Linked DNA regions of Alligator mississippiensis. The protein of the gene in region 1 purifies or fractionates together with the protein of each later gene. This does not show direct contact. Links are inferred from orthologs where the notes say so. Each region holds a gene or a part of one and is shown on either strand. Other genes may lie near its edges. The genes, in order: SMC3, NIPBL, WAPL and REC8.

Region 1 (7,131 bases):
ACTGTGTCATTCAGAAGTGCTGGATATGTTATTTTCTCCTCCTGTAATTGTTCAGCAGAATGATTCATTCAACATGTACTGTTTATTGTGCAATGTGTTGTATTTTATGTAGAGGCAGCAATAAACAATTTGTCTAAAGGTAGAAGCAAAATGTATTATAACACCACTCCAATGGATAATATTCACTAACAAACATTTTATCAAAGGGCAGGTAAGGTGGCTGGGGCACTGGGGATGCCGACATTAAACAGAGGAAGTAATTCACTGATCTATTATTCTGAGAGAGACAGGAACCAGGCAATTATGTTCTGAATGATTTTTTTTATTAACTATAAAGGGGATAGCTACAGGGCTTCTATTATACATATAAACTAATTTTGGTAGGATTTACGTTTGTTGGAACACTGTCCAGCTGAAAAATCTCATTTCCTCTTCATAACTTTGCCTTTACTGTTATCACAATTAACACCCACAATTTCTATAATGAAAAGAGATTAAAAGACAAAATTTTTTCTCTCTCTTCAATTTGTTTATTTTGTGCATTTGACAGCAGCTTCTGGAATTAATCATGTGCTCCTTTGGAGATAAAGGAGTAGATACAGACTCAGGCTAATCTTTGCTGGCCTATTATTTCTCGCAGAATGTGCACATCATTCCTGTTATTGTCTTGAACAAAGACGGAGCAATAGCAAAAACTGCAGCAAAGCCAAGTCTACTAGTCCCGTACAGAGATCCATTTTCAGAACTCCGGTAAAAGCTAATCAGTCGGTCCGGTCATCTCAAACATCAAAGGTGACTGCTTTCAGCTCTGTGCCTTAACCCCAAACAGGAGGATTTTATTTTCTAAGCATGTCTTTGAACTGTCATTCAAAACGTCCAGGAGTTAGTGGATCATATTCTCCATTGCTGCATGAGAAGATGGGTGAGTAGCACTGCTAGAGCAGTTCCTTTGCCAGCTTTCTCCAAGGTGATTAAGTAAGGGATTAAGGAGGTCATCATGATAAAGGTTTAACTACACCTGAGTGATGCCTACCTGCTGCATGGACTCCTGAAGTTATTAGCAGCCGACTCAGGTTAGGTTGTATTAATTCATGTCAAAGAACCTGATCCATCTTGCAACCAGCCCAGGATCAAGGGAATGCAAAGGTTTAGCTTTATTTTATCCCCATGCCTGTATGCACACTCACTCACTCTGCCCTGAATTATATGAGGACCTGGCCTGGGTGCTTAAAGGTGTAGATGCCTATACTATACTAGTATAGTATAGTACTACTAGTATAGTACTACTACTACTACTATACTAGTAGTACTATACTAATATATAGCTCATGCCATGAGCTATAGTATATAGCTACCTCCACCCATCATTTAGGAACCACTGGCAACTCCTCACCACTGAGCTAACTGGATCACTTAGCTCATGTCGTACCTAATCTCCAGGCTGTCTCTCAAACAAGGCATTTTCTTGCCTATCTTTCTTCTGTTGAAGCTGTTGTTTTTTCACAAAACAATTAAATATTCATGGAGAAGAAAACTGGGGAGAGAATGATCGTATAGCTTAATGGTTAGGAGGAGGAAAGAGACGCACGTTTCTGCCCCAATGAATGCTGAATATACAATACTAAAACCTTCACTGAAGACTGAAACCCAGGTCTCCCCCGTTTTAAGTGCATGTTCTAACTCAGTGGTTCTTCATCTTTTTTAGACTGGAGACACCCCTGGGTAAAATCTAAACATCCCTTGAAAAATGCCTGCTCTTAGTTCTTACTACAAAAAAAGTAATTGAGCATTTTATCTTATTTTATTTTATTTTTTGGAAACTGCTCAGCAAGACCACAGCTATGGATTTCTATTTGAAATCTCTGTGTTTATCTTGTGAATTGTGTTTGCACACGTATCAGTGCTAATATTATGTGGCATACCATGGCACCCTTGAAAGGATCCCAAGGCACCTGAGGTTGCCATAGCCATGGTTGAGAATCACTGTACTAACGAACCTCTGAGGTACAGTCATGTTTTGTCTCTCTGGCCTGAAAATGATCAACTATGTCTTGAAAAGTAGAACAGCTTCAAAGTGAGAGACTGAGGGCAACCATTCTAGAATAATTTATAGTTAGCCGGGAAATGCAGGTTTAAAGCCCTTCAAACAGAGGAAGAACTTGACCCAAATCTTCCAAGGTGGAGCAGCAGCAGCCTTACTTGCTCCAGCTCATAGGTGTATTCAGAAAGTGCCTGTTGTATCGAACCCTGCAGGAAAATTAGACAGAGAAATGCCTCATCTGTGGATCATGGCGGGGCTTAGGGAACTAGCTACTCTGTGGGCACATCTACAAGTTCATTAATGCGCATTAAGTTAGTACCTGTCGTCAGTAAGTTATTACAGGTACTAACTTAAAGCATCATAATCAGCACTACTGTGCATTAGTGCAGATGAATGCTTTTTATATGACGCTTAATGCCCATTGGACTAAAGCTACTGCGCATTAACGGAAATGAATGTTTTCTGCGTGACGCTGAATGCGCATTGGACTAAAGCTACTGCACATTATTAGCCCATTAGCACGATTTTTGCCAGCTGTGCTAACGTGCAGTAGAATTAGTCCAATGGGCATTAAGCGTCTTGTGTAGATGCACCCAGCATTGTCAGGACTTAGTGCTCTTGAACACGCCCAGAAGCAGATCTTCCTGGCAGTGGCAACAGCCGATCCCTGGCGGGGATCAGCTGTCTTGGGGCAGCAACAGTCGATCAGATGAGTTTGCTGGGCTCGCGGACCAGCTTCCCTGGGGCCAGAATGGGAAGTAAAAAATAGCCGCTACAGACCCCTGGCTGGAAAGCATGCCTTCGAGGTGACTTTTTCATGTTGCAGCCAGGGGGGGTTTGCACGTGCGCATCCCCACCAGCGCTCTGCTTTTGTAGAGTACACACCAACTGCTGCAGCTTCCTTAGCCTGACGAAGGGTTTTTGAACCCGAAAGCATGCTTAATAACTATTCTCCAACCATTTAGGTTGGTCTAATAAAAGATATCAAATTCACCCAAGGAACCTTGTCTGCCTATATCCTTAGACCAACACGGCTACAACCTAAACCCCTACAAAATACGGAGGCACTTTATTGCCCCACAGATAAACGTGAGCACACAGCCTTAGAAAGACAGCTGCCTGCAAATATTATTTCTAAGTTCTCTCTTTCTCTTCTTCTTTTTTTTTTTAGGTATCGCTGTTCGAATTTGTGAGAGTATCACGTCAATCGTTGCTGCCTCAATAGGGGATGTCGGGGTTAGAAAACACCGCCTAGCACGCAGGCAGGCTTTTCTCCCGGGGAAATCTGAACGATTTAGCGCGCGAAGGTGAGCCCCTGAGGCCCAGGTAATATTGCACCTAGTTGCTCTCGAAGGATTTAGCTTTCATGCATCCAAATTGGGCGTGGGGCTCCGGAGGGCTCTCCGATTTCGGCCAAGAAGTCACTGCTCATCGTTCACGGTCCATCCTCTCTCCTTCCCCTGCGCGCCGGTTGTCTCCACGGGCGCCCGGCGCCCTCCATCGGGGCCCGCTCGACCTGGATCGATCCCGGGAGGTTTCCCAAACGCCGATGCAAAACGTGGACGCGCGCATCTGTCATTTGGGGCCTAGCCTCGACGTCAGGCAGGCAAAGGCACGCGAGTCTTGCGTTGAAAAAAAGCCCGCCGTGCGCACGCATGCATCCGGATTCAATAATTTAATATTTATTTTCTCGTTTCTCTCCAGGAGGGCGGTCTCTAATCGCCGGAGATGCCAGGGAGGGTTGACAGCCCCAGGGTTGCGAGGGTGCGCACCCCAGGCCCTCGGGCCCTGCGAAGAGGGAGCAGGAGCTTGGGGATGCTCCTAGGTCTGTTGCCATGGCAACAGGGCATCCCTCACCCCCCCCCAGGCCCCGCCCCTCTCCTTCCTGCGGCCTCGCTCTGGCCGCTCTCGCCTTTGGCGCCTAACCCGCCCTCCCGTGGGCGGAACCACTTCTCCCAGCGTGGGGGGGGTGGGGAGCCCGTCCGCGCGCGGCATTGTGGGCGCTACTCGAGAGCCTTCTACTGGCGTCCCCCCCACCGCCCCCACCGAGTGGTGCGCGCCGAGCGGGAGCGGGAGGCGGCGCCGCCGCCATTTTGTCGGTGTGAGGGGCCGGCGGGGCAGGCCCGGAGCGCGGCCGTGAGGCGGGGCGGCGGCCTCCCACCCCTGCGGGCGACATGTACATCAAGCAGGTGAGGCCCGGGCCCTGCCCCGCCGGCATCGGGGCGTCGGGCGTGCTGCCCGGACCCCCTCACGGCGGGGCCGGGCCTCCCCCACTGGTCACAATGCGCTCCCCGCGGTTGTGCGCGGCTCGTGTGTGGAGTACGTCGGTCCGCGGGCCCCGCCGCCGGACGCGCGTGTGCATGTGCCGCTCGGCCTCGTGCGCGCGTCCACACCTGTGTCTGCACACACGCACACCCCTACCCCTACATACTATGTACACATCTCTCCATCTCTGTCCATAGATGGGAAGTTGTACACACACTAATACACACAGATGTCCGTTCCCCTCTGTGTGTGTGTGTGTGATTTTTAAATTTGCTACCGACTCGTTGCATTGTATGACCCTTATTCTATTAATGAAACAAATAATGGCACTGTTTTATTACAAAAATATAATTTGAGTTGTAGTTGTACACGTCGGGGCTAGAGCGGGGGTCCCCAACCCCCGCCCCGGGCCGGGCCGGGTTGGCCGCCGGACCAGAAGCGACTGCAGACCGGCAGTCAAATTGCGGCCGAAAGGAAATCAGGTCAGAGATATGACTAGAAGCAAACTCTTTCCTGAAGCTTGAAGGGAAAGGCGGGCAACGCTGGTTGGAGGTAGCAACGATCGGACTGCGGAGGATTTTGGCGATGAAACGACCGTTTTAGAGGACACTGGTGACAAAGCCTTATTCTCAGACTGACCGATGTGGTCTTTATACACCTGCAAGTGCCACAGCGCCGGGTACTTGCATGTGTCAAATGCCCAGAGAGCCAGGATCAGAAAAAAATTCGAGATGGCAAACAGCCAGCTTAATTAATGTGATTGAAGTAAATGTTTCTGACTATTCGCAGTTTTCAAATGGCTTCAAAAAATGAAATCGCTGTCACGTGTGGATTATTGCATTTCATCCAGGTGTGCTAGACTGACGGTGAACTCACGTGTGTGACTGAGCGTGTAGGGCTGTCCAGTGAAGAATTCGATGTAGGCTCCTCTTGTCTGAAGGCAAAGAAAGAGGTCCTGGCATTGTAAGGTCGCTGGCCGTTCGGAAGTGCTTGGCAAAACCCGTTCTTTTAGGGAAGCTGTTCAAGTAAATAGTTGGTTCGTGCGGAGAGATTTCCCTTCCCGTTTCTGAAATTTTCGTTTTTGAGGGAAGATCATTTACTAAACAAATCAACAGAATCTGGAATTCTTTTTTTCCTTGTAATCCAGGTGTTTTATTTGTAGACATGGATAAATAGGGTACATATGTTGCAGTGATTATTTTGGTGGCAAAGAGTGACGATTTTATGCCCATGCTTAATATTTTAGTCCTGCCAATTATCTTGGAAATAATGAAATCAGCATAGCACCAACATCTGTGATCATTAGAAAAGTGTACATTTTGTCCGTCTATCTTATCTGTCTGAGAGATCGCAGAAGTAGGTTGTTCTGGGCAATTTCCCACTTACTCTGGGGGATCTCGTGTAAGAGCTCTGTTCTGTTGCATCTCTGCGAGTTTGTTAGCTTGGTGGCATTGGTTATGGTGTTTTAGCAAGGCAGGGAATCTTAGCTGTGTATTAGGGATGTCAGTACTGTTTAAAAATATGTATTTAAGGTCCTCTAGTTATATTGGTTAAGTGGTTAGCCAATAGTACGTGTACCTATTTAGTGAGCTCTGGCAGGAACAGTCCCCACCCCTTATTTTCATCGTGTGCCCAGCGCTGTGCGGCCCCAGGTCAGTAGTGCGGAGCTGCGGGTGTGGGCCAGTGGGTGTGGCTCAGTCACTAAGGGATTGTAAGGCTTCTCCTCGTCCCCAGGGGCTGGGGCCAGGGCTACATCCCACTGCCATGGGAGAACAGGTGCAGAGCCCCCTACGGAGGTCAGGTAGGACTTTCCCATGGTAGCCGCAGCAGCAAGACTGGGCAGCAAGTGGGTCTGCTTAACCCCCCTGCAGCAGTGGGGCCTGGGAAGGGTGACAGGCTCCCTGTGCCTCCTGCCACAGCCTGGACCTGGAAGGTTCCTCCGCATTGCTGGGTGCTTCCCAGTTTGCCCCAGGAGAAGTGGGGGAGAGGGGGTGTCTGGTCCTGCTGCCCGCATTGCGTCCTTCCCCCTCCCACCATTGGTGCTGAAGCCACCTGGGACCTGGACCAGCCCTAGCCCTAAGGCAGGGCTGAGGGTGTAGCTGGCTCAGCTTGAGTAGTTGCCCTGGCAGCTGCAGCAGGCTGTGTTGGGTCTGAGGGATCACTGCTGGGCCCTAGTGCAGTGAGCATGGCCCCAGGGCATTCCTGAGGGGCAGTGGCACAGCAGGGCTCTCCGTTATGGCTGCAACAGTGGCTTCCCAGGCTGGAGCTGCTGTTCTGCCAGGACCCCTAAGGAACACCCTGGGGCTGTGCACCACGTGAGGGACCGGCAACCCCTCATACCGAGCACTGCCAGCTCCAGCTGCCACGGCACCTCGTTGGGCCAAGCCAGATGCCCTCAGCTGTGAGGTGGGGGCTCCAATCCAACTGCCCCACCCTCCAGCGCTGGCTGAAAAAACCCCAGACCAAACTCCCATCATTTTCTTCCCTCCCTGCTCCCCCTCCCCCTCCCCCTGCTCATGACACATGCAGACAGAGGTAAATGAAGGTGATCCATTTTGGAGTGTCTTCATCTGAACCCTCATGCGATGAGGTCTCAGGTTGTTGTGGAATCAGGCCCTTTTAAAGCTCTCTGCAGCCATGCACTTATGTTTGGTCGTGGCTGTAGATCACTTTCCGGGGGCCAAATCAAGTGAAAATTGTCACTTCTGTCTGTGCCATGAGAGAGGAGGAAGTGGCACACATTTTGTTTACCATGAATGAAGGGCATGCATGCTGTTTCTTAAAGATTGCAGCCTGGTGATCAGCTGTCTAGGGGGTGGGGGGGA
Region 2 (7,650 bases), on another chromosome or scaffold:
AGAAAGCTAACAGTTCAAAATATTTTTAACATTATGGATCGTTATTTGATGCGTCTGGGTTTATCTTGTGAATCATGTTTTCACACCTAACAGTGCTAATTTTGTGTGGCTCTCTGCAGCATCCCTGAAAGGAACTCAAGGAATCCTGGTTGTGATTCACTGCTTTAGAGGGAAAGAAAACTAATATTATTGTTCCATGACATCAGAGTTTCTACTCCTGAATCATGTCAAAGAACAAGTATAGGGAAATTTGCAATGGGATAGGATTTTATGCACATTTCCCACATCAGATAAAATAAATGGTAACCCTCAGGTTGCAAACATGCAAAACAAATAGGTATACAAATATTTTATTTTACAAGCTGCAAATTATTTCATTTTTTTTCTTTATCTGCTTCACTTTAGACTTAACTTGATCTTAAGGTTATTTACTTCTAATGCTGAATATTCCCCAATGAATCAATTATATGGTGCAATTATTTGCTCCTGTGGATAAAAGTCAATGCAGAAAACATGATATTATATTTATATTTTTTGCAGACAGCATTCATCGTTTCCTCTCTTATTCATGGTCGAAACCAAGACTTAACACCAAAATCTAAGTAAGTTTGATGCATTAAATTTAGGATCCTATGCGACTCACTTTACAGTGTATCAATATACACTTATCTCCCAAAAATACATACAAAATTTTTAAAATGCCATTTTTTAAAGTATAGCCATTTTTTAAGACTCTTTTATATATACAGTTATATGATAGACAATCCTTAAAAAATTCTGGCCACAAAGAAATAAGAAATAGCTAACAGTTAAAATATATATTTAACTGTTAGTTATATAGGAAGTTGTACAGCAAGCAAAGCTTAAAACGAGAGGAACTTGATTATACTAAAACCTATCCAGGCACAAATAGAAAAGATTGAGAAATATAAATATTAACAATCTAACAAGCAATCAGATAATATAAGTGTGTACATCAGAGTCTATGAAAACATGGATATTGGATATTTTTAAATGCCAGACTGCACATTGCCCGTAACTAATTATTCAGCTTCATAAACTAAATATCTGGGGACTTACCCTAAAATCCAAGAGGCCAAAAAGTGTTCTCTGCTTCTGAATAGTAGATTTATAGATACAATTTTATACATCCTTCTTGCAAGTTTATTTCACCTGGTAGTAAAAAACAGTAGTAAAACATTTATGACTCAAGCTTTCTTCTTTTATCCTTGAAAGAAATATTTTCTCTATGTTATTTCTTGTGTGTATAATCTCTTGTTTCTGACTATTTTGTAAAAATATTGAAGTATCAGTCCACTTTGAAAAATACAAGAAATATTATGAGAGTTAACTGATGTTCCATATAGTTTAGATTTACAGCAAAGATAATAATACAGTTAGAGGAAAACATACATTCTTAACTGCCTTCACTTGACTTCAAAGAGAGTAGAATGAGGTTATGAACTTATCAGCTCTGTGCATAAAATTATTTCCCCAAACTTGTGATTCACTTGCAGGCCAGGGGCCTACAGGAAGAACAAGGTTCAGACCTGTAAACTAGCCTTTAGTTTATCATATTTTCTAATATTTTGTTTTTAGAACTTCTATGATACCATAATCTTTCTCCTTTTTGGACATCATGCATGTAAGGTGTGATGAATTTTTGCATATTGAATTGTTTTGTATATATGTACATGAACCCTCATTCTTGTGCCTACATGGAGCCCCAAAATAGAGATAATGAGTCATTGTTATCTAGCTTGTGTGTATCAGATTACAGGATTGTGAGGGATCTTACTTTGTACAAGTTAATACAGAGTAATAATTGCTGTAGATAATTATAAAAGTTATTTTTCATTTAAAGAGCTTAATTTTGTATATCATAACTTTCAAAGCAACCACTGCCTCAAATGTAGGGGGCTGGAATCGATGATCCTCCGGGGTCCCTTCCAGCCCAAATGTCTATGAAATTATTTATAACTTGTCTGATACAGATAATAATAAAATAAAAATGACTGCTTTCCTAAGTAATACTCTGATTAAATAGTAATACTAATTGATTAAACATGGCTGATGAAGTATGAAAAAAGGGCCAGTCTCAATCTTAGTTAAGCTTATGATAGAAATCTAACAGAGGCACAGGGGTGCATTTTATTACCATGCCATTTACACTAGATAGCCACACTTTATGTTGGAAAGACATGATACTGAAAAAGAAAGTTGCATTTAGTGCAAATCACTTTATTCCATTCTATAACTTTCTTTTTAAATATTTAATCATGAAGGTAATTAGTAAAACCATTTAGAGAGTCCATCAACTTGAATCTTGCAGTAATACAAAGTTAGAAAGTAGAATGAGGTAAGTATTACACTTGGCCTTGCGTCCTTGTGCTAAATTTATGGTTTTATAATCAGATTTCCTTATTCCTGCTTTTCTTTCTGCCTGCGCAAAAAATTCTGCATAAATAAGAGGGGAAGCTGATGCACCCTGATTCTCCATGCTTAAAATTACAAAAACAACATCTCAGCTGACTTACACTAAGAATGTGTGTGCGCAACAATATGAAGTCCTGGGGCCTAAGGATCAACAAGTTCCATATTTTGCCTACAGACAAGGATTCCCAGAATTAACTGTGTACAAGCAACTATATGAAGGACTGCTACATTCATAAACTAAACCAAATGAAGGCACGGGCAAGAGTTTACTCCTCTTACCTTTTAATTAAAGCATTATTAGGCCCTTTGTCTATAAATGCTTAATTCTGCTAGCATGAGTAGCTCTAGTGAACAGTGAGGTTAAACACATGGGTATTTACAGAACTCAGGATTACATGTTATTTTTAATTAATAATAGCAGTCAACAAGTTTTCAAGAGAAATGTGGCTTAAATTGACCGTGTCTATAAAATGTACATAAAGATTTATTCATATAAAATTAGCATATTTGGAACTAAACCACAATATTCTCTAATCACATCTCTCTCAGTCTGCACCCAGAAGCACACAAAGTCTTAGAATGGATTTTGAGTCATCATTTTCCTCTCCAGCATTATGAACTGGATCATTTTATTAATTTAAAGAGATGCATTTGAATCTGTGGTAGCCACAGAACACACAAATGACACAGAAGCCAGGCAGGATTCAAGTGCATGGATGCAGGACCAATGCATGGCTCTCTAAGAACTCCCTTACGGAAATGAGGTCCATCCAGAGCTGACAGAAGCACAACACCATATGCCCAACTGCTCGGTGTCTTCATGGCTCAGTCCTGCAGTCTTTACACATCCTAGATGCCAGTCTGATTATATGGAGTTTCCCCGAGGAAGGCTGGGTAGGAACTATAAGAATGGCAGAAAAGGAGGAGGTTAATGCGTATAGGAAGGAGCCTTGGCTGCCATGCCAGGCTGGGATCATTCACAACCCATTTTACCTGAAGAGAAAAACAGAGCAGCTTCCAGATTAGGGCAGTCCCATTCTGCAACCTTTCCTTCACAGCCCCAGTGCTGGCTTCCAGGAAATCTACCAGCAAGCCTTTCAGCTCCCAAGGAAGGACCCTTCACCTCAGCATCATTTTTTTTTTTTTTAATTCTCCCGTATTCGCTCAAGAAAGCTGGTTTTAAAAATCATTCAAATTCGGCAAGTAATCGCTTGACCCAGGACCACTTTCACCATCGGGCGTTTCAGATCTGGTGACATCAAGCCTCTTAAAACACGTAAGAAAAAACAGGAGAATTTAAGATCCAGCAAGTGTCCCGGGTCTGGCAGCTCCACTCACTGCGCGGGGGAAGACGACCTTCCTCGGGGATTCACGCTCAGGCTCCTCTCCAAGTCCCTGAAAGTCGTCCTCCAAGAAAAAATCCTCCCTCAAATGGTTCCTCTTCACGAGCCGCCGGCTGTCTTCCTCCTGGCGCAGGCCCGGGCGCAGACTCCACTCCCAGGCAGCAGCTCGGAAGGGGAAAAGAAAGAGAAACTCGGAGGCAGAAGCAGGGGTGGGGACGGGGCCGCCGCCCGCAGCGAGGAGCCGCGGCCAGGGCAGGGGCGGCCGCTGCGCGGGGCAGGGCGGGGAGCGGCGCGGCGGAAGCGGGGCTCCCTCCTTCCCTCCCTCCCTGGCTGCCTGCGCGAGCGAGCGAGCGAGGAGGAGGCAGCAGCGGCGGCGGCGGCAGCAGAGGGAAGGGGGAGGCTGTTGGTGTTTGGCGCCGGTGGAGGGAGTCATTCCTGCAGCTGCACTTCCGGTCGGCATTTTGTTCTGAGAGGGAGAGAGACACACAGGATCCTTCCCCCTCCTCCTCCGCTCCCCCCGCTTGGTACCGACTCCCGGCCCCAGGCTGCCCCCTCCCCCGCCCCCACACTCACCCGCGCGGAGGGAGAGGCGGCGGCGGCGGCAGCGGCCCGGCGCGGTGTGCGCCTCGGAACCGGTTCGGCCCGGCCCGGCCCGGCCCGGCCCAGCCGTGTTGATGTTGTGAAGCAGGCTCAGGGGGAAGGGATTTGTCTCGGCCGCTCACCCCCCGGCTCTACATGTTCGCTGCACTGAGGAGGAGACGGAAGAGGAGCCAGCCCCCCTCCCGGCCCGGATTATTGTTGTTATATTATCTCCCCTCCTCCTCCTGCTCCGCGGCGGCGGCGGCGGCCCAGCAGCGGCGGCGGCTCCTCTGAGGAGGGAGGGGGGCGGATTTCTCTCCCCCGCTCTCGGATTCTCGTTGGATTCAGACGCCGATTTGCTCAGGTAATCCCCCCTCCTTGTCTCCCCTTCCCCTCCCTGCGCTCTCCAGCAGCGGCCCGGGCCTCCCAGCCCTGGCGGCCCGGCGCTGCCGGGAGCCGGGGGGATTCGCTCTTCTCCGGGAAGCGGCGAGTAAGTGGCGAGCGGAGGGGTTTATTTCGCCTCCCCCCGCTCCTGCTGCCCCGGGGTGGGCGGCGGAGATCGGCTCGTCCCGGGCTGCCGGGAGGCGCAGGCCCGGTGGAGGGCGCAGGCCCGCCGGCCAGCGCCTTCACTCCAGCTCGGGGATTAGAGAGGCGAAGCGGCTTCTCCGTGACAGGCCTCAACCCGGGGAGCAGCAGCGGCAGGAGGAGGAAACAATGCAATTAGCAGCAAACGTGCCCTGATCCTTTGCCATATTTACAACTTCTCTAGGGCCGGGGGACGGTCCCAGCGCAGACAGTCCTCCGCGAAGTGGGAGAGCGGTGTGAGGAGCCGGGAAGAGAGACAATGTAAATACCCAGAAACAAATATAGCCATTATCGTCCCCGGGATCTTCTCCTGGCACAAACTCCAGGGTGAACCTGAAGAAGTTAATGCGACTAGATTTGTATTCTTTAAAGAACAAATTTCTGAATTCCCTACCAATTGATTAGCGTGGCAATGTCCAAGTTTATTTATAGCCTAAAACTAGCTCTTGTGGAATGATTGACACAAGGCGAGCACCTGCAGACCCCAGGAAATACACACAGACAAATGTTTGAGGTTGGTTACTAACATAATCTCCACGTTTACATGCTCAGTACATTACGTAAATATTAATATAGAAGAAATCCAGGGGTATGCTTTCTAATAAACTGAAGAAAAGGGAAAGGGGTCTTTACAAAGTGTAAAACTGTGACATTTCAGGGATCAAGGTAAAGATGGGCCCAGAGTATTTTAAGGATCAAGATGCATTAAAATTGCTGAAAAGTAAAGAATGTTAAAAAGTGCAATCTTTTCTTGTCAGGACAGACCACTTTGAGGACCTGGGGTTGTTATTGGCTGTTTGTGTCCCTGATATTTGAATATGTAATTAGGTGTCATCTTAACAGGTCAAATGTGTCTGTAAATGGCTGGTGATTAAGTATCCCTTTTTAATAAATAAATGGTAGCAAACTTAAGAGTAAAGTAAACCTTGGATTTCTGTGTGCTGGAGTTAAGAATAGTGTTGAAAATCTTAATAAATTTAAAGAAAACACTGTTAACTGATTAAAAAATACATATTTCCAGTTCAGCTGTACAGCTAGAGGGGAATTTAGCCTAATCCTGCTGTTGTAATACAAAGTTTCATATTTAATATTGAAAGGAAATTTATAAGTGGCTAAAGTGTAGCAACCTAGCATAATCTCCTGCCCCACTATTTTGTAGTGAGATTTTTTTTTTTTAGTTGTTCAGGGAGATCTCTGTTAACAGTATGTTGCTAATGTGTCTATAAAAGTAACTTTTTGGTGTTTTGTGCTTAGGGTCTTACTTATAAAGGATGTACTATCTTGCCTCTAAGCGTCCCAATACATGTTTAAAAGGGTGAAGTTAATATAGCTGTCACGTAGAAGGCGTGTTTTTAATGCTGTAAATCCGTGTAGTAGTCAGTAGCGTGTCCGTGATTTGTATTGGTCAGGGAGCAGTTTGAATTTTAAAAAGCCTGAAGATCCTGCTGAGCCCCAGCCCCGGCCTCCCTCCCTCCCACTAATCTCCCATTCCTGTCTTTGTGCTGCCTGGTCCTGTTAGACACTGTTTGCAACAGGGCCTCAGGCCTACATGCGTGGAGAGGAACCATTTACACTCTGAAAAAGCAGCTTTTATTTTTAAACTTTATGAATTGCAGAGGGAGCCACGAGTGTCTCTAATTGTCCTTCTCTGTGTGTGTAACTGAATCGCTGTTTTCTTTTGGGCCATAGCATGTGTGGAGGCCGAGTGTAGCAGTAGTTTACAGGAAAGAAAGGACTGTGTAGAAATAGTAGTAGCACTTGGGTAGTTTTCATCATCAGGAAGCGACATTAGTTGTAGTGTTTCTTTCCTTGTTTGCTTAAAACAGGTCTCTAGTATGTGCAAAAACTTAGTTGCTGTTAAATCATCTTGATTTGTGCACTTTAAATTTTAAGGATGTTTGCTTTAAGTATGTAAGATGAGCTGGAATTGAGGTGTTGTAGTTATGTAGTTCCTGTCAAGTCTCTCTCATAATATGTTCAGCAGCCTTTAAAAAAAATAAAAAAACATGCATTTCTAGATATTTTTATCTTATGTATGTAAAATAAGAGACACTTATAGACATCTTTAATTTTAGCTGTGTATTTGTGTTTTGGATTTATTTTTTCTTTAAGACATGCAATGTTGTAGATTAAATATGAATTATCTGGTTCATCATTGGCTACTTAGTGATAAGTTTCTTAGGCTCAGAAAAATGCCTTTAAATGTCTGAAAATATAAAAAAAACCCCACTTCTCAGTAAAGTGTGTAGAGTAAGATTTTTTTTCCTTTTTCTTGTTATTGCATGTTTGGTATGAAACAAAACAAAAAGTAGGGGAAAACCAGAAGTATTTAAATTTCATACCTGCTTGATGGTAGGAGATTGCATACATGTCCAAGAAAATATCTAAGTGACATATATGTATGACCAAAAAGAAAATGTCTTTAAAAAGAAGATAAATGCAGGTATTTAAATAAAGTATAACTTAACAGAACTTAAGTTATAACTTAACAGAATACCCGTTAAATAAAAAGAAATGCAAAACTCCAGAACTCTTTGTTCAGAGATGATACCTTTTATTAGACCAACTAAGAAATTGCAAAAAAGCCCCACAAACCCCCACTCAAATGGTTTGTTGTTTTGTTTTTCTGGTGTTTTTTGGTTTAAATTTGTATTATTTGTAAGGCTTCTAAGGTTACTCTGCCTGAAATGAAAGAGAGAGAAAAATA
Region 3 (7,585 bases), about 53 Mb from region 1:
AAGTCAGACCCCCTGCCTGGGCAGGAGGAAAACTAGGCTCAAGTGACCCCAGCCAGGTAGGCATCAAGCCGCTTCTTAAAGACCCCCAGGGTAGGAGCTAGCACCACTTCCTTTGGAAGTTGGTTCCAGATCCTAGCCACCCTAACTGTGAAGTAGTTCTTATGGATGTCTAATCTAAACCTACTCTCCAATAACTTGTGGCCGTTATTCCTTGTTATCCCAGGGGGCGCTAGGGGAAACAAGGTCTCCCCAAACCCTTCTGGTCCCCCCTAGTGAGTTATAGATGGTCACAAGGTCCCCCCTCAGCCTTCTCTTGTGAAGGCTGAACAGGTTCAGGTCCCGTAGCCTCTCATTGTAGGGTCTGCCCTGCTGTCCCCGGATCATGCGGGTGGCCCTCCTCTGGACCCTCTCAATGTTGTCCACATCCCTCTTGAAGTGGGGTGCCCAGAACTGGACACAGTACTCCAGCTGTGGCCTGATCAGTGTCACATAGAAGGGGAGGATCACCTCCTTGGCCCTACCTGAGATGCCCCTGTGAATGCACGATAGGGTCCGGTTAGTCCTGCTGACCGTGACCTCGCACTGTCGGCCCATGTTCATCTTGGAGTCAATGATGACTCCAAGATCCCTTTCTGCCTCTGTGCTCTCAAAAAGGGAGTTTCCCATCTTGTAAGTGTGCTGCCGGTTACTACTGTCCAAGTGCAGCACCCTGCACTTGTCCGTATTGAAACGCATCCTGTTTTTGTTAGTCCACCCTTGCAACCTATTCAGGACTTTCTGCAGTCTTTCCCTCCCGACTAGCGTGCCCACCTCACCCCAGATTTTGGTATCATCAGCAAATCTGAACAGGTTGCTTTTCACCCCGTTGTCCAAATCACTGATAAAGAAATTGAACAGTGTGGGCCCAAGGACCGAGCCCTGGGGACTCCGCTGCCCACTCCCCCCCAGGTTGAAAATGACCCATCTACCACCACCCTCTGAGTACGACCCTTCAGCCAATTAGCAATCCATCTGACTGTGTAGGCATCAATGCCACAGTTGCCTAGTTTTTTTAATGAGGATGGGGTGGGAGACAGTGTCAAAGGCCTTGCTGAAGTCCAGAAAGTATTAATAGATTAAATCAGCTATTGTTACAGTCACTTTCTGGTCAGGTCTATCTTTTGAGTCTGCACATACAATACTAAGAACAGCAAACACATACAGTAGGGAAGAAGTTGTTGTCTGCAAGGGGGGGGGGAGGGAGAGGGGAGAGCATGCGATAGGACTCCACACATACCACTTTGCATTGGGATTTTTTAAAGTTACGGGAATTTTTTTCATCGTTCCTAGGATTTGTAAGAACACATTTTAGAAAGCTAATTTTGGGTCTATAGCTGGCTTGATAAAGTGACCTTGTTTCTTATTTGCCAAGTATTTGAAAGGCTTTACCATACTTCACAACCTCCCACATACGTACAGATAACCATGGTATGACTGGCAGTAGCAGTCACAAACACTTCTGGCATCATATAAATGCAGAAGTCTTGCTTTCTTTTTCACTTTGGTCCACATTTCCAACTTGAAATTTCTGACTCGGTTTGCCCAAAAGACCAAACTGTTCTCCAACAAATTCATTTTGATGGTCAAAGCTACTAAGACTCACTCAATAATTAATCTCTCTTGACTTGGCCAAGTTGCATTCACTACACAAATGGATTTATCTTAATTGTCTTCTCTTCCAGATGTAAGAGAACAGATTCAGCCAGGGCTCAAGAGATTTACAAGCTGGTTGGTTTTCATTTTTGAAGATCCAGAAACCATTAACAGATTCAACTTTAAAACATTACAAATCCTGCCCCCATTCCTACTCCCTCTTTGCTTTTCACTCAGTCTGGGCAACTTTATTCAGTTTCATTTTCTTGTTTCCATTCCCTGCCCCCACTTACTTCTCTGACCCAACACAGCTAGTGCTGCAAACATGTGAATGCAAGCAAAACCTTTGCTATAGCTGGAAAAAACAGTCTCTAAAGCAGCTGCTTCTCCCTATGATCTGCAACACTGCGTTTGGGAGGTGGGGGAAGTACAGTCAGAGGCCGAAGTAGGCCCAGCTCACAGCTGCCAGGCAAAGAGGTGCCATTCATCCTCACTTCTTCCCTGAAACCTTCCCCCTTACACAGCATCAGAGGAGAGCAGGGCAGAGGCGGACAGACACTGAATGGGATGAGCTACTTTCTCCATGTGCAGATGGGGGAGGGGGGGAGGCTAGTTTAAATACAGGCCAATTCATGATGTCATTTCCCGTCGTCCCCACCCCCCCCAGCCGGCCCGGCGGACCCAGGTCCCGCCATCTACTTCTGACCCAATTCAGGCTCCCCACAAACAGAGAAGCGGCGGCAGCCTATAGAGGCGATGCTGCCCAGCCCGAATTAGAGGCCACCTGATACTCTGGACATGGCAGGCAGCCGGGCCTGGAAGCGCCTCCGCGGGGCGTCCAAGTCTCCCCCAATCCCCACACCCGCGGGGACTGCCGGGTCCGAGCTGGGCGAGGCCGCGGCCCTGCTGGAACTTTCCAGTTCCCTCCGCTCCGCCCGGGGGGAGAGGAGGGGGGAGGAGGAGACCCGAGCGGAGCTGGGACTGTAGTTTGGGGACGAGGCGCAGCCGGGCGGCAAGAGGCGCCGGGCCTTCCCCGCCTGGGCCTCGGTCCCGCGGCCCGGCCCGGCGTGGCGCTCACCTCCGTGTCACGCAGGATGGACGGCGGCCTGCGGCGGCCGGCAACAATGGGGCACGGCTCGGCGCGCGGTGCTCTCCGGCCTCAGCCCCGCGGACACGGCCGCCCGGGTCCGGCGCCGAGAGCCCGGCCGCGTAGGCAGGGGTGCTTGCCCCGGCGGTTCCTGCACGCCCCTGCGCCGCGGCGGCGGGATCCGGCCTGCGCGGGGCGGCGGCAGTGCGGGGCGCTGGCGCTAGGGCCCCCGGCGCCACCTCCTGCGGCGCCGCTTTCTCCGCGCCGGGATTATCGCCGCGCTTTGAACAGGGCCCTGGACCATCTCTCCGCCATTTGCCCCCCGCTCCTTCCGTCACTGCGCTTCCCACACTCGCCGCCGCCCGCAGCCAATCGCACCCCACCTTACTCAACCGACCCGCACGCCGCCGCGCATGCGCTTCCCCGCGTAGCTGTCACGTCAGCACGCGTGCGCGGCCGCGCGAGGAGCTGCCGGGACTTGTGGTTCCACAGGGCGGGGCCGCCCTCATTTGGAACTAGGAGGGCGGGGCCTGGGGAAAGCGCCTGCTTCCGGTGTCTGCCTCGCACGTGCTGCTGGTGGTACAGTCTGCGCCGTCCCCGCTTTTGCCTTTTTGGGGCTTGGCCCAAGCAGTCCCCAGGGGCATGGGCGCCCCGCGGAGCCGGGGATTTCCGTACACGCCTGCAACCGTGGAGGGGGACCCCGCGCGGGGCCGGGCTCCTTCGGGGCGGGCAGCGGCCGGGGCCCCGGGCGGCCTGGTAGGGGCTGCGACGCTCGTTCTTTTCCCTCTGGAAAGGCGACGTCTGTTTGCAGCCTTAGCACCGAGGAAAGCAAAAGCGAGCACCCGCGTTTCCACGGAGCTGGGAATTCAGAGCCAGACAAGCCTGGGACACTCACCTGCAGACTGTAAAAAATCATATTTAAAAAAAAGGAAATTACAGAAGCACAACTCAGTAGGAGGCTTCACAAGCACCTGCACCGGTTCTGAATAACTTTAAGAAAATGAGCAGGAGGGGAATGGAAGGTAACTGTATCCTTTAGTGCTTGGTTAAGTGACAACATGAAACAGTTAAAATGTGTGCAGACCCGCTTTGTTACTCAGTTTAAAAGAAACTTGATCTTAGAAATGATTGTCGTGCAATTAAAGCACCAAAACAACCTTAACTCCTCTGGAGTAAAATGCAAAAAGAGAGAGACAGTATTATCCAACCATATGATGCCAATCTAACTGCAAAAATTTCAGCCTTATGAGCAGCTATAGCCTGTCCTCAGCACACATTTTATAAAAAGTGGCAATGTGGAAGACAATGCCAAAGGCCTTCATTCCACATTTTTATCAAGACATGCCACTGTTTCCACTAGTACTAGTAAAGACCAAACAATAACTACATACTTCTGAGGGATAAGTAATGATGTTAAAACCCTCTAAAAAAAAGTAAAGGTTAGTGTAGTGACAAAACATACAGATTGTATCAAACAAACATACAGTAGTATCCAAATTTAAAAACAATCTGATTCTAGAAGGTGAAAGATTTTTTAAAGTCTTTATTTAGTTGCTCATATTTCTCATAAAGGATGGCGCTTTACTGATACAATGTTTTTACAAACTTAAGATATCCACAGTTCAAGCCTAGTCCTAAACTTCTCAACCCCCTGAGAAAAAGACTTGGAGGCAAAACTCTTCTACAGCAGAGAGACCTGATTTTGCAAATTCTGAGTAATTTGACTAGGGATTTTCAGGATAAATCTACATATAAATTAAAGAGGAAAGATGGAAGACTGCTATTACTAAACCAAGAGGGAAGGGAGTGATTTGGGAGATTAGCTAAGGATTGTGGTCAGGGATTTCTTTTTGCTCTTTTTCCTCTTTCATTCATCCAGGTTTATTTAAATCCATTTTAAAAGCTTATTTAAAAGAATTAAAAGGCTACATTTCTTTCTTCTTTGCAAACTCAACAAATGAAACAAATAGGCTTGAATTTCTGTGTTTACTTATAACCTTCAGTCACAGTCATGATATGTTAATAGTTTGTAGGGTTTGTGAGCCACACACACTCTTTAGAGCAGGGGTGGGCAAAATGCGGACCACCAAGCCATTCTATCCGGCTTGCAGGGCCCCTAAAAATTTAGAAAATTAATATTAAGCTGCCCTGGGCTGCCTGTCATGTGGCTCTCAATGGCTTGCCAAAACTCAGTAAGCAGCCCTCTGTCCAAAATAATTGCCCGTCCCTGCTTTAGGGAGATGACACAATTGGTCTTGGAGAAGAAAAAAGGTAATTAGGAATATATTGGGGTCATGTGATTAAGAGCACAAGTATAATTTGGGTAATAAAGGGAGACATTCATTTTGGATGACAATAAGTTTAAAAGGTTAAAGATAAAGATCTTTAACAGTTTGGTTGATAGCTTTTGAAGAACTGGTGGCAGTAAGTTACAATAAAAAAAGTAACATAAAAGTGAGTTCATTTTTTCTGGTTGGTTATCTTGTGTGGAAGCTAATAAGTGGTCTGTTTAAAATTCAGGATTCTAATTAACACTGACCCATGATAAATTTTTGTTAGTTCTGGAGAGGCAAGGGTTTTTTGGGGTGATATCTTGTATTGGACCAACTACATGGTTGGGATAAATTTAGACAAACTTTCAAATGCAAGGCATCAGATCCTGAAGAATCCCTTCATCATTGTTAAAAGCTTAGTATGTGGAAGACCAGAAGAACTGAAGATCCTCATCAGCTATAACTTGATTTAAAACAACCTCTTTCTAAGCTCTCATGTACCTGAGCCCCTGTGGACAAGTTCCATTTCTGGTCTTTGTGAGAGAGTCCCACGCATCTTGTATTCCAAAGCATTACATATTCACTGAAGGGTCCTGATGGGAGTTGTGGCAGACAGGGGATAAATTTAATCTAACTTATGCACTGATGGTCCTTTCTTCTTTTTTGGTAGGCATTCAGCAGATGGCTGTAGGCCTAGCTAATTAAAATAAAAAGCTTTACAATTTTATAATAATAACTTAAGGATAAAGGGAAAATGTTCAAAAGAACCAAAGTGACTCACTGCCTTCCAATGGGATTTAAACACACAAACTACTTCAAACACTTCTGAAATTTTTATACAGAGTAACTTTGAAAATGTGGCTCTCTACATTAAGCAGTATTGCTTCTAATATATCTGTATAGCCTAAATATGTGCAAGGACCAATAAAAGGCAAATAGAACCTAAAACCTGTAGACTTTATTTTTTGTCTGTAGAAAAAGTTCAATTAGGTTTGGATTACCAGGCATCTCTATTTTGTTGGGTGTGACCCCCATCTCCTACTAGGTGTCCTCTTCCTGAAAACCCCCCCATAAAAGGTAAATGTTTAATTACCAGATGTTTTTCATTTCTTCTAGCAAGTCAGGTAGCAGTTTAAATCACTCAGCCTCTCCTCAGAGCATTAAGGCTCAGTATCCTCTTAGTGGGCATATCTACAAGAGAAGCTACATACACAGTAGACTAATTCTAGTCATTAGCATGTCACAGCAAAAGTCATGCTAATGACCTAATGCACAGCAGAATTAGTCTTCTTAATAGCATCACAAAAAATTGTGCGCTGGTGCTACTTTGCAGTAGCACTGGTTCCTGTGCATTCAGTTAGTACCTGTTATTATCAGAGATCCAGGTTTTCTCTGATTAAAAAAAAAATCCCCAATTTTCAGATTTAAAAAAAGTAGCCCCAAATCCACATTTTTTTCCATGATTAAAATGAAACACCACTAATATATAGATAGCTATATAGTGGTGTTTCATTTTAATCACGGGGAAAAGTGGATTTGGGGTTACTTTATTTAATCTGAAAATTGGAGATTTTTTTATCAGAGACAACCAGGATTCCTGGTTTTTACAAATACTAAACTGAATGTGCAGTAACCCAAGGATGCTGAGAGAGTTGGTTCATGAGCTTGCACACTGGTTGTTATCTTTGCAAACTCGTGGTGATTGAGAGAGGTCTTAGACAATTGGAAAAGGGCAAATATAGTGCCCATATTTAAGAAAGGGAAAAAGGAGATTCTAGGGAACTACAGACTAGTCAGCCTCACCTCAGTCCCTGGAAAAATCATGGAGTAGATCCTCAGAGAAGCCATTTCTAAACACTTGGAGGAGAAGGTGATTAGGCACAGTCAGCATGGATTCACCAAGGGCAATCACCAACCAGATTGACTTGTTGTGGCAGAGCACCTTTGAGGATGCTCGCCACTTGAGAGCTCTCACAGGCTCTGAGGGGAGCCTGCTTTGGAGGAGCAGCAGGTGAAACCTCCCCCAGATACCATTTTAAGAGGGGAGGTGTGTGGCAGGGCATTGTAGATGCCTGCCACTTTAAGGGCCTGATCCAAGCTGCCAGCAGGTGCCTGATTGTGGCAGCCATTTTTAGATCCCTGGCTGCCTTTATAACCAGATCAGTTCCCTGCTGGCAGGGAGGTAGTAACATTGCCTGGCTGTGAGGCTTCATGTATCATCCTGGAGGTAAGGGAGGAGCTGTAGGGGAGGGCTAGCAGGCTCCTGGTTCTGGGCATGCCCTAAAACTGCACCCTGCCAGGAGTGGGTGGCTTGGTGGGGCTCTCAGTGGCATGGGATTACCCAGGAAATGCCAGGCCAGTTATCACCCTGGTGAGAGGCGGGTAGGGGTGCCTTAATTCTAGTGCTCACCTTTGTGTGGTTCTGGTAACACCAGGGGTAGTGAGGGCCGGGCATGGCTATGGCCACCTGAGCCCTGAGGGGTACAAGACCCCAAGAGACCCTAAGGAGGGAAACTGAGGGCCAGGCACAACTATGGCCACCTGAACCCTGAGGGCTTTGCTTGGTTGCCTTCCTTGCTGGGCTGTGCCCCAG
Region 4 (7,130 bases), on another chromosome or scaffold:
CGTCTGAATGGTAATTATTGGCGTCGTAACTATCTACAATGATGTCTTTTCTGTGACTCTCAGTCATGAAAGTACATCAGCCATTGTTATCCAATACAGTGAATATTAGAAGTTGGTATTACTAGAGGTCAGGATACATCAATTTATTCCATAGCAAGTCATTAGATATTTATTGGCACTATTAGAAACTTGATATATTTTAATGTGTACTCATGTATATTTAGCCACATGGATTGCCATTATTACCCACTGATCTACTGTAGTTACACCAATATATAACAATTAGCCATCCTTGTAATTAATAATTATTGTTGTCATTAATAATTGTTAGCACTCTTAAAAATAGTATATTATCTATATTGGCTATATTAACTATTAGAAAATCAATATATTTCATATGTTAATTTGATATAATAATGCATATTTAATAGATTATTGCGTATTTAGCCACATGGATGACCGTTACTACCCATTCATCTATTGTAGTTTCACCAATATATAACAATTAGTCATCCTTGTAATTAAAAATTATTGGCACCGTTAGAAAATTAGTATATTAACTATATTGACTATATTAAGTATTAGAAAATCAACACTTTATATATTTTATATAATAATGCATATTTAATAGACTTGCATATTTAGCCACATGGATGACCATTATTACCCATACATGTACTGTAATCTCACCATTATATAACAACTAGTCATCATTGTAAGTATTAATGATTGGCACTGTTGAAAAATTAGTGTATTAACTCTATTGATTATATTAACTACATTAACTTTTAGAAAATCAATATTTTTAATGTATATTCATGCATATTTAGCCACCGTGGTAACCATTATTACTCATTCATTTAGCGTAATCACACCAATATACAGTTAGTCATTCTTGTAAAAATAATCATTGAGGATTTGTTACCATTGTAATTAGCCATAATTTTACAGGTTGGGGTGTTAGGTCTATGTTGTTTCAGGGTTGAGGGTAAGTCTTAAACAGAGTTTAGACTATGGTTGTATGGGATGGTTTGGATAGGGATGACCCTGCATCAGGCAGGGGGTTGGACTAGAGCAGTGGTTCTCAGCCTGCAGGCTGCATGCGGCCCAATCAGCACACTGCTGCAGCCCATATGACATCCTGTTAATCGGGTTTTTTCAGTGGATACACAGGAAGTAAGTTCTGGGTGCAGCCCACATAACACATTGGGTGCTTGTACATAACGTGTGCTGTTTAGATGCACGTTGCGAAATGGTGCCAAAAATCACTTTTGCTAGGTTAGTTGTGTGTGAAAATACAGGTTGAGAGCTGCATGGGTGGCCCACTGTGGCAAATAGTCTGAGATCCTCTGGAGTAGAGGATCTCTGGAGGTCCCTTCCAGCCTGACTTCTCTATGACTCTATATACATTACATTTATTAATCTATGGCAATTAATTTCCATAGATATTGGGGTGCTAATTATTTATTAGCCCATATTATTACAATCAATAGGAGTGGATTTACATCTTCATTTTATGTATTTTTTATGAGTCTCTTTTTTACCTATAATATTATTATAGTTTATAGCATTCTTAATGATCTATTATTATGAATATTTAATAATATTACTGTTTGGCCATTTGGTGGCCAATTGGCTATTGACATTCATGGTTCGTGGCTGACTATTTAGTATTTGAGCATTTGTTTGATTTTTGAATTTTGTAGTTATTGTAACTCAGTATTATTCCTCATAGATTCATAGATTCATAGATGTTAGGGCTGGAAGGGACCTCAATAGATCATTGAGTCTGACCCCCTTCATAGGCAGGAAAGAGTGCTGGGAGAGCACCACCTCCCTTGGGAGCCCGTTCCAGACCTTGGCCACTCAAACTGTGAAGAAGTTCTTCCTAATGTCCAATCTAAATCTGCTGTCTGCTAGCTTGTGGCCATTGTTTCTTGTAACCCCCGGGGGCGCCTTGGTGAGTAAAGCCTCACCGATTCCCTTCTGTGCCCCCGTGATGAACTTATAGGCAGCCACAAGGTTGCCTCTCAACCTTCTCTTGCGGAGGCTGAAGAGGTCCAGGTGCCCTAGTCTCTCCTCATAGGGCTTGGCCTGCAGGCCCTTAACCATACGAGTGGCCGTTCTTTGAACCCTCTCCAGGTTATCCACATCTCTTGAAGTGCGGCGCCCAGAATTGCACGCAGTACTCCAACTGCGGTCTGACCAGCGCCTGATAGAGGGGAAGTATCACCTCCTTGGACCTGTTCGTCATGCATCTGCTGATGCACAATAAAGTGCCATTAGCTTTCCTGATGACTTCGTCACACTGACGACTCACGTTCATCTTGGAGTCTACTAGGACTCCCAAGATCTCTTTCCGCTTCCGTGCCACCAAGCAGGTCATTCCCTAGGCAGTAGGTGTGCTGGACATTTTTCCTCCCTAGGTGCAGCACTTTGCATTTCTCCTTGTTGAACTGCATTCTGTTGTTTTCTGCCCACTTGTCCAACCTGTCCAGGTCTGCCTGCAGCTGTTCCCTGCCCTCCGGCGTGTCCACTTCTCCCCATAGCTTTGTGTCATCTGCAAACTTTGACAGAGTACACTTCACTCCCTCGTCCAAGTCGCTGATGAAGACATTGAAGAGTATCGGTCCAAGGACCGAGCCCTGCGGGACCCCACTGCCCACACCCTTCCAGGTCAATACCGACCCATCCACCACGACTCTCTGGGTGCGACCCTCTAGCCAATTCGCCACCCACCAGACTGTGTAGTCATCCACATCACAGCCTCTTAACTTGTTCACCAGTATGGGGTGGGATACCGTATCGAAGGCCTTCCTGAAGTCTAAGTATACGACGTCTACCCCTACCCCTGTGTCCAGGCGTTTTGTAACCTGGTCATAAAAAGAGACTAGGTTGGTTAGGCACGATCTGCCTGCTATGAACCCGTGCTGGTTTCCCCTCAGCATAATTTTTCCTGCCGGGCTCTTGCAAATGTGAGCCTTGATAATTTTTTCAAAGACTTTGCCAAGGATGGAGGTGAGACTGACTGGCCTATAGTTGCCCGGGTCCTCCTTCCTCCCCTTCTTGAAAATGGGGACCACATTGGCCCTTTTCCAGTCCTCTGGGACCTGGCCCGTGCGCCACGAGCGTTCAAATATTCCCGCCAGTGGCTCTGCAATGACGTCCTCATTAGTTGGAGTACACTTCTTTATAATTTGGTGACCATCTCAGGGTGTTTTTCTTTATTATTAGTCATTTGTTAAATATAAGGTCATTTATTTATTTATTAGGCATTTTAAGCAATTTATTACTAAATCAGTATTCCCTATTCAACAGTAGTCATTTCTTAATGAACTTTTTTGGGATTATCATTTTAAGTCAATTGATGAAAAATCATCATTAGTGAAGGAGGGGACATTTCTTCTGTTAACAGTGACATGTGTGGCTGGCTCTGTCCTCATGGCTAGAATTCATTGTTAACAATGGCAGAATTTAACCCCTCAGAAAGTAATTAGCAATGATGGAACACATTAATATGACTTTTGTGACAGTTAATTATGTTAGCAATAATTAGTGTTAAGATATAACTATAACCTAGTCGTACTCTTCATTTAAAGTAGTTATATAGGGTTTTTTTTCATTATATTTAGTAAGTGCATATAATTTTACTTTAATTTAGAATATTTTAGGTGATTTATTTATTCTTTTTCATCGTTGATTAAAGAGCTGAGCTTCTGCTGGTCTGTTGCTTTGTTAATTGGGTTGGTTAATTGTTCTAATTAAGATTCCTTACAGCCTTCTTTAGCTAATCGCGCTGATTTCTTACAGGTTTGTAAATATTCATGAGCCCCCGCATATATTAGCGTGTAGATAGGGTTTGCTTCTGAAGAGAGAGCGCACCAACATGTCTCGCCCCTCAGAAATTGGCGGGAAGCAGCCCTTCCCCGTGATTGGACAAGACCGGGGAGACCGGACTCTTCCCATTGGCTGGGTTCGGTGAGGTCACGAGTATCCCTGGAAGATTTCTAAGGCCGAGCAGGCGGAGTACCACGTGTTTCTGCTCTCTAGTCACTTATTGGCTGGGAGCTGCCAGGACCCCGTGCGGTCTCCGGGGCAGGCAGAAAAAACCCCACGTGGGCGCGCCAAGCTGATTGGCTGAAGTCCGGCAGCTCTGTGCAAACGGCCAAGGTCTCCAGGTAGAACGCCGATTGGCTGTGACGCGACAGAGCCGCCGGCAGGAGAGCGCGGCGATTGGCTGGGACCGCGCTATATAGCGGAGAGGCAGGCGACAGAGCTGTACCTTGTGCGCTGTGGGGCTGGGCGCTGGATCTCGTCATCCACCGGCTTCATTGATTAATTTAAATAATTAATCAGCAACGTCTTTAATGATTCGGCTGCGAATAATTAATTCCCACCGCCATTATCTATGTTAGCTTCTAATTAGCTTAACATTAGCATAATTCATTGTCTATTGACACCTACAGCAACACTAGTTTTGTTAATTACTTAATTTGTTAATTAGTATTGCTGATTAGTTAATCAACAATTCCCCTACTTGTTTTCCCATTAGCTGCTGTATTTGACTGGGGTCCCTGGTAGCCCTTATACAGCCGCTCTGTCTTGGCTTTTAATTAGTTAGCTGTTTATTAGTTCCAGTTAATTAATTTGCTTAAGTAATTGTCACTAATCCTCTCCTTGTTTATTGCTAATCGTCCTATTAACCTTTCAGCACTTGCTATTAATTGCCTTCTGTCTTAACGAATATTAATTGTTTGTTAACCCCTGTTGATTATCCCAGTTATGAACCCCTGTTAATTCTTGGGGTGCTGGGTAACTATTGTCACTCTTAAAAGTTTGTTATCTCTCATTTAGTATTGTGGTTAATTCTTCATTCCATCACATTCATTAATTAGTTATTGATGTGTTTGTATTAATATTAATATTCCTAATATTATTATACAAGGTTATTTAATGTTCATTTATAGCCCTGCTTGTTCCTAGTCTGCATCTTGAAGGAGCACATCTTGTCAGTTTAGCCCTTTTAAGTTCCAAAGTCCTCTCTTGCCTCCTTTTAATTAGCCTCAATAAGGCCAACAGCTTAATATTTAATATTCTAGTTCATTCATCTCCCCTCCACCTCATTAGGGGAGGGAGGTTTTAACTGTCTCCATTACTAATTAAAACCCCCACCAGTCACTTTTCACCCCTTTTTGGGGGTCTTTCCTGTCCTCATCATCCCCCGACCCGCTTTGCTAAGTGTTTAGTCTGGGTGTGGGCTCACTGGTCAACCTCATCGACTGCCATGTTCTACTACCCCAATGTGCTGCAGCGCCATAGAGGCCGCTTCGCCACCATCTGGTAATTACCCAGCTGGGGGGGCATGGGGGAGGGAAGGATGGGGGGAGGGGGTCTCTGGTGCCACTCCATATTAATGACCCATCTCCCCAAGGCTGGCGGCGACAGGTGGCACAAAGCTGGTGAAGAGGGAGTACCTGAAGGTGAACGTGGCCCAGACATGGTGAGTGGTGGGGATGGATGGATGGGACTCTGGGGATGGCTGAATGGATGGATGTTAGATGGAAGCGGTGGGGAGGGAGGGATGGCGAGGGGCTGTGAGGATGCTGGTGGGGGGTGTGGGGCTTCTGCCTGGGAGGGCTGCATAGGGTGATGGGTCTGGGCTGACACCGGTGTTGACCCCGCTCCCTCTGTCCATGGCAGCCAGGAGATCCTGGCGTTTGTGCTGGTGCAGGTGCCGCCCCCAGTGCCTGGAGCGCCCCGGCCCCGCTTCTCGCTCTACCTGTCAGCCCAGCTACAGTATGGCGTGGTGTGCGTCTACAGCCGCCAGTGCCACTACCTGATTGGTCAGTGCCCCCTACTCTCCTTGGGACCCCTCGTTACTCTCAGTACCCCCCCAGCCTCCTTGGAGACCCCTGTTATCTCTGGTGCCCTCCAACCTCTCTTGGGGGACCCCTCGTTGCTTCAGTGCCCCTCCTGCACCCATGCATGTGTGCCTACTACAGATTAGCTCAGCTGGGCTGCGGGGGAACAGTGGGGATAACCCCCTCAGCACCTTTACAGCCCATTACAGGGCTGGTAGCACTGAGGTGGGGGGGGAGAAGGGGGGCACCCTATGGGGCAAAGGTCAGCCCCCTGTGACCCCAAATAATTCTAGAGTGGAGACAGACCCCCCGCTCTCTGGCCCCCAGCTAGGCAAATGCTGCTCCCTGATCCTTGGCCTTTACCCCACTGCCCCAACCCTGTCCCCTGGACTGCATCCAGATTTGTGCCCTCTGGCCTTGTCCTGATGAGTGCCATATGCCCTCTGATTCCACACTGACATGTGATCCTGTGCCTCTGACCCTGCCCTTGACCTCCTGATGCCTCAGAGCAAATTCCGCTCTCCAAAATCTGGCCCCACATCCCTCCCCTCGCCCCACCAAGACCCCTGGCCCTGTGCCCTCTGACTCTGCCTTGGCTCCCCAGTGCCCCCATAGTAGATCCACCTCCCCTCCCATGTGACCCCATTTTTCTGCCTCCACCTCCTCTGAACTTGTGCCCCCTGATCCCACCATGCCTTCCTGGCTCAATACCTGACCCCACAGTGACCCCTGACCCCATGCTCCCCCCAGAAGAGATCCAGCAGACCCTGGAGCGCCTGCATCGCTCCCAGCAGCAGATCCGCATCGACATGGTCGACCTGGAGCAGTGAGTGGGGACCCCCCCACCCTCACCCCACAACTCCAGACACTGGCCAGGCCTGTGGGACATCACCCAGTGTCGTCCCCCCCAACTCAACCAGACCCTGGAGGGTGGGCAGAAATGGGAGGGGTGGGGTTAGGGGGCCAGAGGATGGGGATGGGTAGGGTGGGGGAAGGTGGATGGACCCCCCACCTACCTGCTTTGCCCCCCACACCAGGCCAGGGCTGCTGCTCCCTGACAACCTGGCAGCGATGGAAGCCCTGGAAGACGCACCTGAGCCCTTCTTTGGAGTGATGGAGCCGCCCTTGCCCAGCCCCCGCTGCATCCCCCAGGTACGGCTTCCCATTGTCTTAGATCAGGGAACCAGTGGGTCGTTGAGAGAGACAACGCTGGAGAGACGGGAGATGTCATTTTATTAATGTAAATTTATTCAGCAGACAGGACACACC

Evidence for each region.
Region 2: the proteins of SMC3 (region 1) and NIPBL purify together in Homo sapiens (affinity purification with western blotting; 4 studies listed by BioGRID, with this or other methods). This does not show direct contact. The link is inferred for Alligator mississippiensis from reciprocal best matches to the Homo sapiens genes SMC3 and NIPBL.
Region 3: the proteins of SMC3 (region 1) and WAPL purify together in Homo sapiens (affinity purification with mass spectrometry; 7 studies listed by BioGRID and IntAct, with this or other methods). This does not show direct contact. The link is inferred for Alligator mississippiensis from reciprocal best matches to the Homo sapiens genes SMC3 and WAPL.
Region 4: the proteins of SMC3 (region 1) and REC8 purify together in Homo sapiens (affinity purification with mass spectrometry; 3 studies listed by BioGRID and IntAct, with this or other methods). This does not show direct contact. The link is inferred for Alligator mississippiensis from reciprocal best matches to the Homo sapiens genes SMC3 and REC8.

Annotation. Positions count from the first base shown.
Region 1 is NC_081829.1:94,924,128-94,931,258, reverse strand, and holds the start of SMC3 (structural maintenance of chromosomes protein 3), read left to right. Parts: upstream 1-4,117; 5' UTR 4,118-4,215; coding exon 4,216-4,230; intron 4,231-7,131. UniProt on the Homo sapiens protein: Central component of cohesin, a complex required for chromosome cohesion during the cell cycle. The cohesin complex may form a large proteinaceous ring within which sister chromatids can be trapped.
Region 2 is NC_081826.1:278,648,600-278,656,249, reverse strand, and holds the start of NIPBL (nipped-B-like protein), read left to right. Parts: upstream 1-4,633; 5' UTR 4,634-4,722; intron 4,723-7,650. UniProt on the Homo sapiens protein: Plays an important role in the loading of the cohesin complex on to DNA. Forms a heterodimeric complex (also known as cohesin loading complex) with MAU2/SCC4 which mediates the loading of the cohesin complex onto chromatin.
Region 3 is NC_081829.1:42,183,537-42,191,121, reverse strand, and holds the start of WAPL (wings apart-like protein homolog), read right to left. Parts: upstream 3,019-7,585; 5' UTR 2,711-3,018; intron 1-2,710. UniProt on the Homo sapiens protein: Regulator of sister chromatid cohesion in mitosis which negatively regulates cohesin association with chromatin. Involved in both sister chromatid cohesion during interphase and sister-chromatid resolution during early stages of mitosis.
Region 4 is NC_081830.1:7,827,756-7,834,885, forward strand, and holds the start of REC8 (meiotic recombination protein REC8 homolog), read left to right. Parts: upstream 1-4,122; 5' UTR 4,123-5,284; coding exon 5,285-5,340; intron 5,341-5,431; coding exon 5,432-5,500; intron 5,501-5,700; coding exon 5,701-5,843; intron 5,844-6,611; coding exon 6,612-6,687; intron 6,688-6,898; coding exon 6,899-7,013; intron 7,014-7,130. UniProt on the Homo sapiens protein: Required during meiosis for separation of sister chromatids and homologous chromosomes.